4 linked regions of the Oryctolagus cuniculus genome follow. The protein of the gene in region 3 purifies or fractionates together with the protein of the main gene of each other region. This does not show direct contact. Links are inferred from orthologs where the notes say so. Each region holds a gene or a part of one and is shown on either strand. Other genes may lie near its edges.

Region 1 (3,647 bases), on a different chromosome or scaffold from region 3:
TGAAATCCTAGGCATAACTAAGATACCACTAGAATCTAATTTCTGGTTTAAATCATAATCTACATCTCCTTTTTAAAAATTTATTTGAGAGAAAGAGACACTTGCTGCTGGTTCATTCAATGTCTACAAAAGTCAGAGCATGACCAGGACAAAGCTCAAACCAGGTCTCCCACATGGGTGGTATGGACCCAACTACTTGAACCATCACCTGTTGCTTCCCAGCATCCGTATTGGCAGAAAGCTGGAGTCAGGAGCCAGAACCAGCAACTGAACTGATCTAGCGGTGCACATCATAACCAGTGTCCGAAGTGCCAAGTCAATTGCCCACCCCTACATTTGGATTTTAAAAAGATGTAGATATTCCCATGGAGGTTCCTACCTATAATTAACACATACTATGGGTTGTTTGTGTCACTTCCAAAAGCCAAAGTGAAACTTAACACGCAATGCAATACTATTAGAAGGCAGAGCTCAGGTAGGTGATCAGGTCACTCAGGAATGGGATTGGCTGGTTTCTCTTTGTTTTAAACAGGAGAGGCAGGCCGGTACTGTGGCTTACTAGGCTAATCCTCCGCCTGCGGCACCGGCACCCTGGGTTCTAGTCCCGGTTGGGGCGCTGGTTCTGTCCTGGTTGCTCCTCTTCCAGTCCAGCTCTCTGCTTGGGCTCTGCACCAGCATGGGAGACCAGGAGGAAGCACCTGGCTCCTGGCTTCAGGTCAGCGCAGAGCGCCGGCCATAGCGGCCATTTGAGAGGTGAACCAAGAAGGAAGACCTTTCTCTCTCTCTGTAACTCTGCCTGTCAAAACAACAATAACAACAACAAAACAAAACAAAAAAACAGGAGAGGCTGCACACAGTATCTGTTGCTTTTGCCCTTCTGCCTGCAGCAGGGAAGTTTAGGAACAAGGTGTCAACTTGGAAGCAGACAGCAGCCCTCACCAGACACTGAAGCTGCTGGAGCCTTGAGCCCCCGCTTACCAGCCTCCAGAACTGTGAGAAATGATTTCAGCTATTTATAAATTACCCAGTCTAATGTTATTTTTATGGCAGCCCAAAGAGACTAAGACAATGTGGAATTACTTACGTTGTTCTTCTAAAGTCTTTTTGAAGTGTAGGGTATTCTGGCATCTTCCTAATATCTTCCCAGTCTTTATCTTACAAAAAAATATTGAATATTGTTAGAGGAAACTAATTATTTTAGTTTTAAAATATACTTAGGATGTTTTTGAAATATGACTCAAAACGTGATTTTGAAAAGGAAAATAAATTACCTGCAGGAAATCCCATGACACTAAATATCCGATCTAGTTGATCGTGATGAAAGGGATTGCTTGTTTTAATATCTTCCTGGCGACAGTGAAAAATAGGTTCTGAAGTCAACAATTCAGCAAATATGCAACCTATCGCCCATATGTCTATAAAGGAAGAAAAACAGAATTTTGTCTACATTTCTGTATTTCCTTGATTATAATTCCAAGGTGTAATCTCAACCTACATATGAAGATAATTTTCAGTAAAGCAATATACAAAGTACAATACATACATTAAGAGAACAGAAATAGCGTATGTGATTTGAAATAGCTGCATCATCATGCAACAGGCTGAAAGGCAAATAAAAAACATTTACTTTAAATTCCATCACTGAAGTGTTCAATGTTTTGGTCTAATACACAGTGTAACACTCAGCTCAAGTAGACTCAAATAACATCTTCAGATACAGTCATATAATTTCCTTTAGAGCAATCATAGAGCAGAATTTCTAAGTTTCGACCCAGTTAGTGCAGACCACAAAAAAGGATTTGGCAAAAGTCATCTTTTGCCTTAAAGACTACCACATTCAACAGTTCCTTCAACAAACTGCAAGGTCTAGAAGCTGATGAACAACACAGTACACACAAGCATGGCGAGAAAGCAGTACACACAATGCTCACCCAAACCATGTCCACTAGCTGCTGCCTGCCCCTCACTCCCAAACCCTGCATGAAGTCAGGCACCTTTAAATACTTCATGAATTCTTGAAAATCATCAGTTATAGATTATTCCATTGGATTTTACAAACCAAAAGACAGCAACATAGATGCTAAGAACACAATAATATATTTACAATGCTTTGCTGAGTATATGAATGTATTAACTTATTTAAGATTTATTTTTTATTTATTTGAAAGGCAGAGTCAGAGTCAGAAAGAGATAGAGTAAGATCTTCCATCTGATGGTTCATTCCCAAAATGGCTGCAATGGCCGGGACTAGGCCAGACTGGAGCCAGGAGCTTCATCTGAGTCTCCCATGTGGGTGCAGGGGCCCAAGCAATTAGGCCATTCTCCACTGCTTTTCCCAGGCACATTAGCAGGGAGCTGGATAGGAAGTGGAACAGCCAGGTCTTGAACCAGTGTCCTTATGTGATGTCAGTGGCAGAGGTGGAGGCTTAACCTTGCTATGCCACGACAGTGGACTCACGAATGAATTAACTTTTGTGAGACAGATGAATATATTATGCTTGCCCACCCAAATGTTATTTAGTAAGTAATTTTTTAAAAATATTTCTTTATTGCTCTGAAAGACAGAACTACAGGGTGGGGGGAAGTAGAGAGAAAGATCTTCTATCCCTTGGTTCATTCCCCAAATGGCCACAACAGCCAGGGGTGGCCAAGCTGAAGCCAGGAACCTGGAGCTTCAACTGGGTCTCCCACATAGGTGCAGGGGCCCAAGCACTTGGGCCACCTTCTGCTTCTTTCCCAGGCCATTAGCAGTGAGCTGGATTGGAAGTGGAGCAACCAGGATGCTGGTATTGCAGGCGGCAGCTTTACCATTACGCTACAACATCAAGCCCAGGTATTTTATTTCTTTTTTCTTTTTTTAAGATTTTATTTATTTATTTTAGAGGTATGGCCATCTTCCACTGCTTTCTCAGGCCATAAGCAGGGAGCTGGATTGGAAGAGGAGCAGCCAGGATTAGAACCAGTGCCCATATGGGATGCTGGTGCCGCAGGTGGAAGCTGAGCCTACTGTGCCAGCCTCCAAGTATTTTCTTAAAAAGAAAAAACAATAATGCAAGGACTATGGTGCAATCTTAAATATATATATATACACACACACACACACATACATACATATATATATATAATCTAGTGTTTAATAGCCCATCAAATGAAGTAGATAAACTAAATAGGAAAAAAGTTTATCATATCCATTAGCTACATTAAGCATCAGTATGCCATTTCATAAAACACACTGCTAAAGAGAAAAAAAATCAGACAGTAATGTCTCACTTTTGTGATCCCATCCAGGAATGGTTTCCTTTCATATAAACTGGCTTCAAGATAATGGGAACATAGGCTTTAAAAAGCCATATTATATTACACTGTGACCTGCCATCACCAGATGCCATGAAATGTAACTTAATCTTCCTTAATGACACAGCAAAGTCATCATCATCATGACCATTCATCACAACAGAGTAGTCATAATATTCCGTGCCTACTTTTTGACTCTTTTTTTTTTTTTGGACAGGCAGAGTGGACAGTGAGAGAGAGAGAGACAGAGAGAAGGTCTTCCTTTTGCTGTTGGTTCACCCTCCAATGGCCTGGAAGAGGGGCAACCAGGACAGAATCCGGTGCCCTGACCGGGACTAGAACCCGGTGTGCCG
Region 2 (4,212 bases), on a different chromosome or scaffold from region 3:
ACTGAACCTGCACATGGAAGATCTCTCTGTCTCTTCTTCTCACTGTAACTCCTTTTTTAAAAAAATTTTTTAAGATTTATTCATTAATTAAAGTCAAACTTAGAGAGGAGAGACAGAGCGAGAGATCTTGCACCCGCTGGTTCAGTCCCCAAACAGCCATAACAGCTAGGGCTGGGGCAGGTGAAAGCCAGGAGCTTCTTCTGGGTCTCCCACACGGGTAGCAGAGTCCAAACACTTGAGCCATCTTCTGCTGCCTTTCCCAGGCCATTAGCAGGGAGCTGGATTCGAAGTGGAGCAGCCAGGACTCGACCCGGTGCCTATATGGGAAGGCAGCACCGCAGGTAACATCGGACCCTGTAACTCTTTCCAAATAAATACATCTTTAAAAGAAAAAAAAAGTCCACGTTGTCAGCAGCGACTCCATCTCAGCACAGCATCGGCAAGCCCATCAACCTTCAACCTGAACGCCCCCGCAATGGTGGTGGTGTCAAGTTTAGCTTGCTTTGGTTTTAAATGGTTGAGCTCGAGTGGCAAGCCTGGGGGTTTACATCTAGCACTGAGTCGTGAGTCAGCCAACAACAGACTACACACACGACGAATGGTGGCATGAGATTAAAACGGGGCTGAAAACAACCTTGTTCGTGGTGACTCCGACGGAAAGAAACCGACTGCACTGCCAGTTCTCATACAGGGAACTTCAGAAAGTTACTGCGGGGCCGGCGCTATGGCGTAGTGGGTAAAGCCACCGCCTGCAGTACCGACATTTCATATGGGTGCTGGTTCTAGTCCCGGCTGCTCCACTTCCGATCCAGCTCTCTGCCATGGCCTGGGAAAGCAGTAGAAGATGGCCCAGGTCCTTGGCCCCCTGCCTGCTTGGGAGACCCAGAAGAAGCTCCTGGCTTCTGGCTTCAGATCGGCACAGCTCCGGCTGTTGCAGCCATTTGGGGAGTGAACCATTGGGTGGAAGCTCTCTCTCTCTCTCTCTCTGCCTCTCTGTAATTCTGCCTTTCAAATGAATTAAAAAAAAAAAAGTTACTGGAAAAATGGAACTAAAATTTTGGTTCAGGGGCCAGCATTGTGGCACAAGCCGTTGATGCTGGCATCCCACATGAGGACCTACTCAAGTCCCCGCTGCTCCATTTCCAATTCAGTTCCCTGATAATGCGCCTGGGAAAGCAGCCGGGATGGCCCAAGTGCTTGGGGCCCCTGTCGCCCACGTGGGAGACCCGGATGGGGTTCCAGGCTCCTGGCTTCAGCCTGGCCCAGGCCGGCCGTTGTGGCCATTTGGGCAGTGAACCAACAGATGGAAGATCTCTCTCTCTCTCTGCCTCCCTATCACTTTGCCTTTCAAATAAGTAAAACCAATCCCTGAAAAATAAAATGAAACCCATACACATCTTTCCATAATACGCACTTTTCCGTGAACTTTCAAAACAATCCTCGTATTGGCTGTCCTATACCTCTCACTGCTGTTTCAGAACGTACTCCTCCTACTTCCACGAAAGGCCAAACACCACGCATGTCCCGTTGGGACGTGTCTGCCTGCAGCAAGCGGCCGATGCCTCGGCTGCACCTCCTCACTCTCCCAGGCACCACTCCGTGACGTCAGCGCCAGCGGCGTACTCACTCAGGCAAGCGTGGAACGGGGGGGACTTTGGTTTCTTGTCTGTTTTTGTTTTTTCCTTTCCAGAGCCTGTCTGTCCGAAAGCTTGGGCTCCCCTGAGGGCTGGCCAACAGCACGGCCATATCCTTTCAAGGTAGGCTGGGATCAAGTTAGTCCAGGCCCGGTGGAGGCGATTTCTGTGTCTCTGCAGGCCATCTCAGCCCTGCAGGCTCAATCTGTATGAATTATGGGTAACATAATTATGGGTAACAGAGAGAGATCTTCTATCTACTGGTTCACTCCCTAAATAGCCCGAACAAAGCCAGGAGCCAGGAGCTTCTTCCAGGTCTCCCGCGTGGGTGCAGGGGCCCAAGGACTTGGGCCATCATCCACTGCTTTCCCAGGCCACAGCAGAGAGCTGGACCAGAAGTGGAGCAGCCGGGACTCGAACTGGAGACATTCGGGATGCTGGCGCTACAGGCGACGGCTTTACCTGCTACGCCACAAGGCCGGCCCGCAGTCGGCCCCTTTTACCGTGCGCACCCCGTAACGCCTAGCAGAACGCTATGCAGTCCCGACGATGTTTCTCTGCGGGATGTGCTGAAGACGAGGAGAAAACCAGAGCGCGTCTTAACCCTACGGAGCCTCAGGGACGCTGCCCAGGCTCCCGAGGCCCCCGGCCACCTGTGCCGGCCAGCTCGGAGCAAGTGTCCCCCGCATAGAGCACGGCGCCCCCCGGCGCCCCCATGCGCCCGGACAGGCGCCGCGAGCTCTCGGGAGAGGCCCCTGCCCACCCCCTGGCCTCGGCCTGCCCGCCCGAGAAATGGGGACGCACCCTTGCAGCCTCCTAGCGCCAGCGCCAGCGGCGGCGGCGGGGCCCCCTCTTCCGGGGCCCTTCCTTACCATTTGATGATGTTGTGAACCAACGGCAGGAAGGAGTAGTTCTCCTCCTCCTTCATGCTGGCGGGGCTCTGGGGCCGGGGCGCCGGCGACTGCTGCGGCTGGGGCGCGGCCACCGGTGGCGGCAGCTGCGGCGGCGGCAACGGCTTGGTCTCGGTCAGCGGCGGGTCGGCCGGTGGCGGTAACGCATCCTCGGCCTGTCGCCCAGCGGCCACCCCGGCCGAGGCCATGGCCCCGGGGCTCGGTCCAGCGAGCCAACTCCCCCACTTCACCGGCTCGGCTCGCCGGGAGCGTCGCGGACTCTACACGTCACTGCTGAGCGCCTCGCAGGGGCGGGGCCGGACGCACGGATCTGAGCATGCGCACTGAGCAGGGGGCGGGGTAAAAGCGCAGGCGTGAGGGGAGGAGGCTGTTGCTAGGCGACATGCGGTGGGCGGGCTGGTGTAGGCTGGATTTGGTTGCGAGTCTAGTTAAGTAAATTAGTCAGAAACAGGCGATTTAGCTCAAGTGACCTCAACGGCCAGGGCTGGGCCAGGGCCAACCCAGGAGCCAGGAGCTTCGTTCAGGGTTTTCACGCGGGTGCAGGGGCCCAAGTACTTGGGCCATCTGCTGCTGCTTTTCCCAGGCCTTTAGCAGAGAGCTGGGTGGGAAGTGGAGCAGCCGAGTCTCAGACTGGCGCCCATATGGGATGCCGGCGCTGCAGGCCGCGACTTAACCCACAGCACCATGGCTTCGACCCGCTATTTTATTTTTTTAAAACAACTGTTCAACATTTTTAAATTTATTTTTATTTGAAAGGCAAAGTGATAGACACGCGGAAATCTTTTCTCGGATACTTCTCTCTCCCAATGCCTCCAACAACTGTGGCTGGGCCAGGCTGAAGCCAGGAGCTAGGTACTCCATCCAGGACTCCCACGTGGGTGGCAGGGGCCCAAGCACCTGGGCCATCATCTGCTGCCTCCCAGGCTCATTAGCAGGGAGCTGGGCAGAGCAGCCGGGACCTGAAACAATTCTCTAGTGTGGGGGGCAGGTGTCCCGCAGAGAGCTGGATGGGACGCAGAGCAGCCGGGACCTGAAACAACTCTCTAGTGTGGGTGGCAGGTGTCCCAAGCTCTGGCCTAACCCACAGCGCTAGGACGCCAACTCCAAAGCATCCCCATTTTAAAGACAAAGTAACTGAGACTTAACAATGGGTGTGGGTCTAGGGTCACCCAGTTTGCCTAACGCCAAACCTATGGTCTCAGCCAGGTTCCTCAGGCTTCTGCTAGTTTTGTAACTTTATGATTCAAAATGTTAACGTGGCTTTCTATTCAGAATTTGAGAAGCAATCTAATAGTCATCAATAATATCCCCATGGCAACGTGCGTCATTTTTTTTCCCCTCCCAGCGTGTTTGATCACAAGCCCCGAATTTGTCATTGGCATCATAATGAGAACGTCCTTTAAAAAGAAAAAAAAAATCAGGTATAAATAGATATGGCTAAAAAACAAACAAAAAAACCCACAAATTGAAAATGTTAGATGCATGAGCAAATACTGGGTATTGACAATTTGCCCTATAAATAGTTCATATAATTAGTGACAAAGAGTAAAGTTTTGTAATGCTGCAAGCATATGTCAGAAAAATCCTGCCTGGGCTGCTTTCAGGAAGCCCAACATTGCCACAAAAATACGCATCTGTTTAATACTCATCCTGGTAAACGTCAGCAA
Region 3 (4,318 bases):
TGCCCGTCGGCGTCGGCCGACAGGAGCCGGGAGCCTGCGGGGACAACGTCGCGGGACGTGGGGGCCAGGGCAGAGGCCCGGGGACCCGGCCAGGCGGGACCGGCGCCCGCCGCAGCGCCGGCTCTGGGCTCTGGCGCGGGCAGCAGAGGCCCGGCGGGGGCTCTGGGACAGAGGCTGGGGAGGGCGCCACCCTGTGGGGGCCCCGGGGAAGCGCCTGGCTCCCGGCTCTGGACTGGACTGGTCTGGCCCTGGCCAGAGTGGATCAGGGACGGGAGACCACCCCCCCTCGCTCTCCACCCCCCCCCTCCCTGTCTCCCTCTCCCCCTCCCTCCCTCCCTCTCCCCCTCCCTCCGTAACTCCGCCCCTCGGGCAGCCAGGCCCCGCCCCCGCCCTCACCTGACTGGTCCCACTCCAGGCAGGTGATGGCCTCGGTGTGGCCGGAGCTGATGGAGTGCACGTCCCACGGGTGCTCCGTGTCCAGGATGTGGATGGTGCGGGTCAGGTCTGGGGGCACAAGGACACAGTCCCGAGGGGTCCCGTGACCCCCAGGCGGCTCCGTGGAGGACCCCCAGGGCGATGGTGAGGGACAGGCTGCCCCCTGGCGGGCAGAGCGGCCAGTGACCGGGCGATGGGAAGATGGAGTGAGAGGGGCCGACGCCCGGGCAGCAGCGCCCGCGGTCCCCGAGCACGCGTCACCCGGCAGCAGGGCAGACGGCACGGCCACTGACGCAGAGCAGGGGCCGGGACGGGGCCTGGGCCAGCAAGACCCCAGCCCCACGTGGAGCCGGACCCCAGCGTCGGGGAGGCCGGGGCTCTGGACGCCCCAAGTTCCAGAGGAGGTGAGGGGCGGAGCCGGGCGGGGACACGGGGGGCGGGGCCAGGTGGGGCAGGATGGGGGACACGGGGGGCGGGGCCAGGTGGGGCAGGATGGGGGACACGGGGGGCGGGGCCAGGTGGGGCAGGACGGGGACACGGGGGGCGGGGCCAGGTGGGGCAGGACGGGGACACGGGGGGCGGGGCCAGGTGGGGGCCGGGCGGGGACACGGGGGCGGGGACAGGTGGGGGCCGGGCGGGGACACGGGGGGCGGGGACAGGTGGGGGCCGGGCGGGGACACGGGGGGCGGGGCCAGGTGGGGTCATGGGGGGCGGGGCCAGGTGGGAGCAGGACGGGGACACGGGGGGCGGGGACAGGTGGGGGACATGCGGGGAGAGAGGGCAGTGGGGGGCGCACCCTGGTCCTCGTTCCGCACGTCTGTGGTGAAGGCGATGAGGTTGCGGCAGGACCAGGCGCAGGCCAGGGGCACCGAGGGGCAGTGCGTGGTCTTGGGCCATTTCTCCCACTCACAGACGTAGGCCAGGTCCATCCCGCCGCAGGCCCGGGGGGCTCGTCACTGACACGGCCCAGTGCTGGGGGGGGGCATAGGGGGGCTTAAACACACGAGGCCACGCCCGTCCTCCGCGACGCTGGCGTCCACACGGGGACTCCAGGAGGGGCCGGGCGGCTGGGGCGCGGGCCAGCACCCCCAGGTCTCCACAGGACCCCGCAGATGTGCTTGGTCCGGGGAGCGAGGATGGGGCGGCAGGGGGCGCCCAGGGCCGCGCGGTCCCCCAGGCTGGGCCCGGGCCTGCGGAGGGCCCAGAGTGACCACAGCGGCGAGCGCCGGCGCCCCTGGCGGCTCCAAAGAGAAGGGGCTCCATCGACGTGGGCCCACCCCTCCGCCCCAGGCACCCCGGGAGCCCACGCCCACCCTAGCCCACCCCACCCCGACCCCCCAGCTCCGCCCCAGGCACCCGCGAGCCCACCCCACCCCGACCCCCCAGCTCCGCCCCAGGCACCCGCGAGCCCACCCCACCCCGACCCCTCAGCTCCGCCCCGGCACCCCGCGAGCCCACGCCCCGGCACCCCGCGAGCCCACCCCACCCCGACCCCCCAGCTCCGCCCCAGGCACCCCGCGAGCCCACGCCCACCCCACCCCGACCCCCCAGCTCCGCCCCAGGCACCCCGCGAGCCCACGCCCACCCCAACCCCCCAGCTCCGCCCCAGGCACCCCGCGAGCCCACCCCACCCCGACCCCCCAGCTCCGCCCCAGGCACCCCGCGAGCCCACGCCCACCCCACCCCGACCCCCCAGCTCCGCCCCAGGCACCCCGCGAGCCCACGCCCACCCCGACCCCTCAGCTCCGCCCCGGGCACCCCGCGAGCCCACGCCCACCCCGACCCCTCAGCTCCGCCCCAGGCACCCCGCGAGCCCACGCCCACCCCGACCCCTCAGCTCCGCCCCGGCACCCCGCGAGCCCACGCCGCGACCGTCCCGACATCCAGCCCCAGGGTCTCAGGCCCAACCCCAGGGACCCCCCCCCCGTCTGCGGGCCCCGCCCCCGAGCCAGGCAGCCCCGCCCCCGAGCCAGGCAGCCCCGCCCCCAGCTCGCCTCAGGCTCCGCCCCCGGTCCCGCCGCCCCGCTTCGGCCGCGGACTTCGCCTCAATTTCCGCGCAGCGCCCGGGCTCCCCCACGTCGCGCCGGGCCGCGCGCCCAGAAGCCTTTGCGCTCGGGCCCGCCCCCTGACCCCGGAGGCCCCGCCCCTGCCTTCCCCGCGCCGCTGTCCCCGGGGTCGCGGACGTCGTCCCGAGGCCGGCTGGCCGCCGCCGCCGCCGCCGGGCCCTCCCACGAGCCCCGCGCTCACCTGGCTGGCCCGAGCGTGGAGCCGAGGGCACGGCTGCGGCCCGCACTCGCCCTAACGCCGCGGCTCCGGCGCCGCCATCTTCCCGGACCAACGAGTCGCCCAAGCCGCGCCGCCGCTTCCCGCAGGCTCATGGGACGGCGGCGGCTCCGGCTCCGCCCAGCTTCCGGGCTTATTTGCATAGTCCTATTAGGTTCCCGGCAGCCTCCGTTCGTGTGTCTCATATAAAACAGAAATATTTCCCTAACGTCGATTAAAAACTACACCTCATTAGAACATATACTGTCCTAACACAGTAAAGAGCACGAGTGCCCCACAAAGTTGTCGCAAGAAAATTCACCCTTATCGTAAAGACAAGATTTCTCGGCACCTTAAATACTTGTCCAGGATAGCGGTCGTTCGTGCTCGCTTCGGCAGCACATATACTAAAATTGGAACGATACAGAGAAGATTAGCATGGCCCCTGCGCAAGGATGACACGCAAATTCGTGAAGCGTTCCATATTTTGCTACCCCTTTCCACGAACAGCGTGCAGGAGGAGCCGGCCCGGTCCGCGTGGAGCCGCAGCCGTCGCGCGTGAATGCCCACGCAGGGTGTGCGTGACTGGGCGGTGAGCGCGGGGTCCCGGGGGTCTACGCCGTCCGCTCTGCAGCCCACGCCCTGCTCCTGCCCTCTGGCACACACCGGAGCAGGTGAGAAGGCGGCCCGCGACCAAAGGGCACTGAACCCACAGCATAGCAGACGCACCCCGGGACACGGAGCTCCCGCGGTGCAGCGCCACGGCTCACAGGTGGGCCCGGCGGGGCCACGGTCGCCGCAGCTCTGCCCGCAGCAGCGCTGTGACTTTGTTTCCCTTACCTATTTGATAGGCAGGGGCCGTGGGGAGGGGGAGAGGGGGAGAGGGGGACAGATCTCCCATCGGCTGGTTCACTCCGGGGCTGGGCCAAGCAGGAGCCCCGGGTTCCCCACGTGGGTGCAGGGCCCCCAGCACTCGAGCGGGCACTGCCGCCTCCCAGGTGTGCATAGCAGGGAGCGAGGTCAGGAGCTTTACCCTGGGGCTCAGCTGCTGGGCTACGCCTGGGTCCAGCAGGCCCTCTGCCGTGGCTGAGAACTGGGCAGGGGGCTTCACGGACGGTCCCTGGAGGTCTGAGTGGCCACCCCGGGCACCCCGGCTGCTCCCCTTCCAGCCCAGCTCCCTGCTAACGGCCCGGGAAGGCGGCAGTGACGGAGAGGTGCCAGGGCCCCTGCACGCACGGGGGAGACCTGGGTGGCGCTCCCGGCTCCTGGCTTCAGCCTGGGCCAGCCCTGGCCGTCACTGTTCTTAGATGAAGATCCCCCCGCCCCGCCCCGTGTAACTGTGCCTTTCATGTAAAATGATAATAAATATACAACTTTCAGACGAGGAAGGAGCCAAAGCCAGCCCTGCAGTGAGGCCGCCGGGGGTGTCTGTGGCCACCTGCAGTCACTCCAGCCGCTGATGCCCCGTCCACGGGAACCCGGGCAGCTGAGAGGGGCTGGGCCGGGGGGGGGGGGTCCCAGCCCCCCCCCAAAGAAGCATCTGCACAGCCCAAGGCCAGAGCACCAGAAATTTATTAAACCCTTCCCATTCCCCAAAGCACAAGCCACACGCGGGGGACAG
Region 4 (3,647 bases), on a different chromosome or scaffold from region 3:
AAATTTTTTTTTAATTTTTTAAAAAATTTTTAAAATGCTGATACTGCATTCCTTTGCCTAAGCTTAGGGTACATTGATTCCCAAGTACTCTTTTCTTAATACATATACAACAGAGATTTCTAAATTGATATCTTCCATATTGTCTTTCCCTGTGTGAAAGACAATCTGTTTAATCTATATCGATACAAAGACCTTTACCAAAAGAGATAAAAGAAATCAACTTCATAATTATTTTCACTACCGTAGTTAATACTAATGTAAGTGGTTCAAATTACATAAAATTAACTGGTCTAAAAAATCAGTCTATATGTACCTTAAGAACATATACAATTGTTTTTAATTTTGAAAGAAAAAGAAAATGTAGAGCTATCTGGCATAAGTGACTCTATGAGGACAAATAATCTTTAGCAAAGTTTTATTCTTTTAGAAATCAAAAAAAAAAAAAAAAAATCAGTAGCTCAAAAGTGTTTTTCCATAATGTAACTCTACCCCTAAAGGCCAAAATTTTTTTCAGCTTCATTAAAAGCCAAAGGATTTGTCTTATTTGTGTTCTGTAAATCCATTGTTGGTGCAGTCTAATTCTACTAAAAACAGAGTGTGGGGAAGGAAAATATTTCAACCATTTTCCTGCTGTGTTATTAGTCCCAGTATAAACACTCTGTAGGTATGAGGATTGGACACAGAATAACTACTATTAAATGTACATTAAAGCAAATTCTTGAAGCAAGATCAAAGGAGCAGGGGCCAGTCTTGTGGCTCAGTGGATTAAGCTGCTGCCTGTGATGTTGGCATCCCATAAGGGTGCCAGTTTTGAGTCCAGGCTGCTCCACTTCTGATCCAGCTCCCTATAATGCACCTGAGAAAGCAGCAGACATGGCCCAAGTAATTGGGCCTCTGCTACCCACTTGGGAGATTCAGATGAAGCTCCTGGCTTCAGCCTGGCTCAGCCCCACCTGTTGTGGCCATTGGGGGAATGAACCCGTGGATGAAAGATATGTCTTTCTCTCTCTGTAATTCTTTCAGATGAACAAATAAATCTTAAAAGAAAAAAAAGAAAGAAAGAAGTAGAAACTGCCACTGAAATAGCTTCTTTAAAGGCCAGAGACTGAATGCATCAAATACACAGCAGCTTGGAAAAGACACCTTGTGTAAGGGCCTAGATCAGCTCTACCTCAGAGTCTACAGGGTTTTTCCAAGGTACACACATGATTACAGATAGAAATCATCATTTCTGGCACTGTGTTTATAATTGTTAAATGAACATGCTATTAAAAGCCTTACTATAGTTACTACACTTATTAGGAACAGAACTACAAAAGCATAATGTAATTATGCAAAAGAAAGAATAATTTCATGTTTAAGTAATTTAAATTTATTAAGATTTAATAAATAATAACATGCTAGATGGATGAAAAAAGCGTATTTTGTAAGATAAAATGAGAGCCAATTTCTGGCATTTTTAAATTCCTAAAAATTTAATGCACTTGAATACAGCGAGGCTTCTAATAATATACTTCATTATGATTATAAAGGCTTATGGGCCAAAAGACTGCTGTTAATGTAGTGGATAACTACAGAATTAACATTTTCCACTTATTGTATGTAACTAGTATGTAGTAGGCTCTAAAAGTTTTATTTCAAGTTATTATAAACATACTCATTTCCAGAGTTTGCCTACCACCTAAGAATCAATGTAAAACAAGCCAATGCTTACTTATGGACTAAAAAGGGAAACCAAAGCTTAGGAAAACAAATGTGTCTTCTATCTCCCTGAAAGCCACACCAGCTAGTACATGTCAGAAAATCAGGCTGTGTTATCCAAGCTCACAAAGTTAGGACATGTTTTGAGACTACTGCACTTTTATTCCCTCTTTAAGGTCAACAGGTCTACAAGAAGCACTGAAATCTAACACAACTAAGAAAGCATCCAATCATAAATGCATCTTTCTGGTTTAAACTCAACTACAGAGTGACTTACCAAATCCCTGTGCAACACCCAGTTAGCATGCAGGTAATGAATCCCATCTAGGATCTGATATAATAGTGACTTCACCATTCCCCGAGGTAATTGAACTGGCTTCTTGTTTGCTTTTGAAGCTCTGTGAAACTTGATTATATGCTGAAAAAAAGAAAGAAAGAATCACCCAAAGCTTAAAAAAGGAAAGAGGAAAGAAGATCTGAATATTTTCCTTACAGAAAAAGAAACACTCGGGGATTTCTACAGATACTGAAAACATAATTTTTCACATTCTGCTGAATAACATAAATAACTTTAAAACTTCCTAATAACTGAAGCTGAAATTCCATTTCCAAAGTACTTGATAGCATCTCAGAAAATAAATGTTCAAAATAGAAACATTGTATTTTTATTTTTTAAAGCATAATTAGAATTTACTGACTTTAGAAGTATATTTGACCTCCATTCATTTGGTTAAAATTTTCAAGAACAGAATCTTTGGGGCCAGCATGTGTGACACTGGGTTAAATAAGCCACTGCCTGTGATGCCATCATTCCACATAGACACCAGTTCAAGTCCTGACTACTCCACTTTTGATCCAGCTCCCTGCTAATGCACCTGGGAAGCAGCAGCAGATGGCCCAAGTACTCGGGCCCCTGCTACCCATATGGGTGACCCAGATGAAGCTCCTGGCTTCGGCCTGTCCAAGCTCTAGTTGCTGTGGCCATCTGGGGGATGAACCAGAGATGGAAGATCTCTCTTTCTGTGTGTGCATCTCTCTCTCTCTCTGTAACTTTGAATTTCAAATGAACAAATAAATCTTTAGGAAAAAAAGATTCAAGTGAGGGGGGAAAGACCCATTAAAATGTTCCACATATAGTTCTATAGGAAATCCAGTAAAACAAAGTACAGTTTTATAAATGAATGTACCTTACCCTCTCAAGAGGCTTCTTCATTTTAATTAAAACACAAAAATTGCAGGGACATTTCTAAGTCAGTTGCAGTCAACTCTGCCTTACATACCACCATGCATAATTGCTGGCACTAAGTATTGAAAAAAGCAGACTCTAGACCAATATTTCTAAGTGTATTTTAAGCAGATTCTTGAAATCAGCAGATATAATGAAAACATAAGTGAATTTTTTTTAATGTTTTAGGTTAGTCCTTTTACTTTCTATTTTCTTTTGATACACAGAACACAACATGGATAGAAGGGATAATTAATGATTAACAAGTAAGGAGTTTTACTTTCCATGGAAAAAGTGTATAGCAAAGAATACCTAGTGGCTGTCACTGTGGCACTGAGGGTAAAGCTGCTGCCTACAGTGCTGGCATCCCATATGGGCGCTGGTTCGAGTCCTGGCTGCTCCTCTTCCCATCCAATTCTCTGCTATGGCCTGGGAAAGCAGTGGAAGATGGCCCAAGTCCTTGAGCCTCTATACCCGCATGGGACTCCCAGAAGCAGCTTCAGGCTCCTGGCCTCGGATCGGCCCAGCTCTGGCTGTTGAGACCATTTGAAGAGTGAACCAGGGGATGGAAGACCTCTCTCTCTCTCTCTTTCTCTCTCTCTCTCTCTGCCTCTCTCTAACTACCTTTCAAATAAATAAATAAATCTTTTAAAAATAAAAGAATACATAGTAAGAAGGTAAGTATATCAGTCAGCATATTTGTAGTATGATCATCTATATT

What was found.
Region 1: the proteins of MED16 (region 3) and CDK19 purify together in Homo sapiens (affinity purification with mass spectrometry; 6 studies listed by BioGRID and IntAct, counting the BioPlex papers as one, with this or other methods). This does not show direct contact. The link is inferred for Oryctolagus cuniculus from reciprocal best matches to the Homo sapiens genes MED16 and CDK19.
Region 2: the proteins of MED16 (region 3) and MED9 purify together in Homo sapiens (affinity purification with mass spectrometry; 5 studies listed by BioGRID and IntAct, with this or other methods). This does not show direct contact. The link is inferred for Oryctolagus cuniculus from reciprocal best matches to the Homo sapiens genes MED16 and MED9.
Region 4: the proteins of MED16 (region 3) and CDK8 purify together in Homo sapiens (affinity purification with mass spectrometry; 10 studies listed by BioGRID and IntAct, counting the BioPlex papers as one, with this or other methods). This does not show direct contact. The link is inferred for Oryctolagus cuniculus from reciprocal best matches to the Homo sapiens genes MED16 and CDK8.

Annotation. Positions count from the first base shown.
Region 1 is NC_091436.1:60,950,219-60,953,865, reverse strand, and holds part of CDK19 (cyclin-dependent kinase 19), read right to left. Parts: intron 1,416-3,647; coding exon 1,272-1,415; intron 1,155-1,271; coding exon 1,085-1,154; intron 1-1,084.
Region 2 is NC_091448.1:66,357,079-66,361,290, reverse strand, and holds the start of MED9 (mediator of RNA polymerase II transcription subunit 9), read right to left. Parts: upstream 2,825-4,212; 5' UTR 2,734-2,824; coding exon 2,507-2,733; intron 1-2,506.
Region 3 is NC_091447.1:58,476,219-58,480,536, forward strand, and holds the start of MED16 (mediator of RNA polymerase II transcription subunit 16), read right to left. Parts: upstream 2,840-4,318; 5' UTR 2,683-2,839; intron 1,408-2,682; 5' UTR 1,365-1,407; coding exon 1,232-1,364; intron 505-1,231; coding exon 397-504; intron 35-396; coding exon 1-34. UniProt on the Homo sapiens protein: Component of the Mediator complex, a coactivator involved in the regulated transcription of nearly all RNA polymerase II-dependent genes.
Region 4 is NC_091440.1:96,647,309-96,650,955, reverse strand, and holds part of CDK8 (cyclin-dependent kinase 8), read right to left. Parts: intron 3,352-3,647; exon of another isoform or gene 3,239-3,351; intron 2,120-3,238; coding exon 1,979-2,119; intron 1-1,978.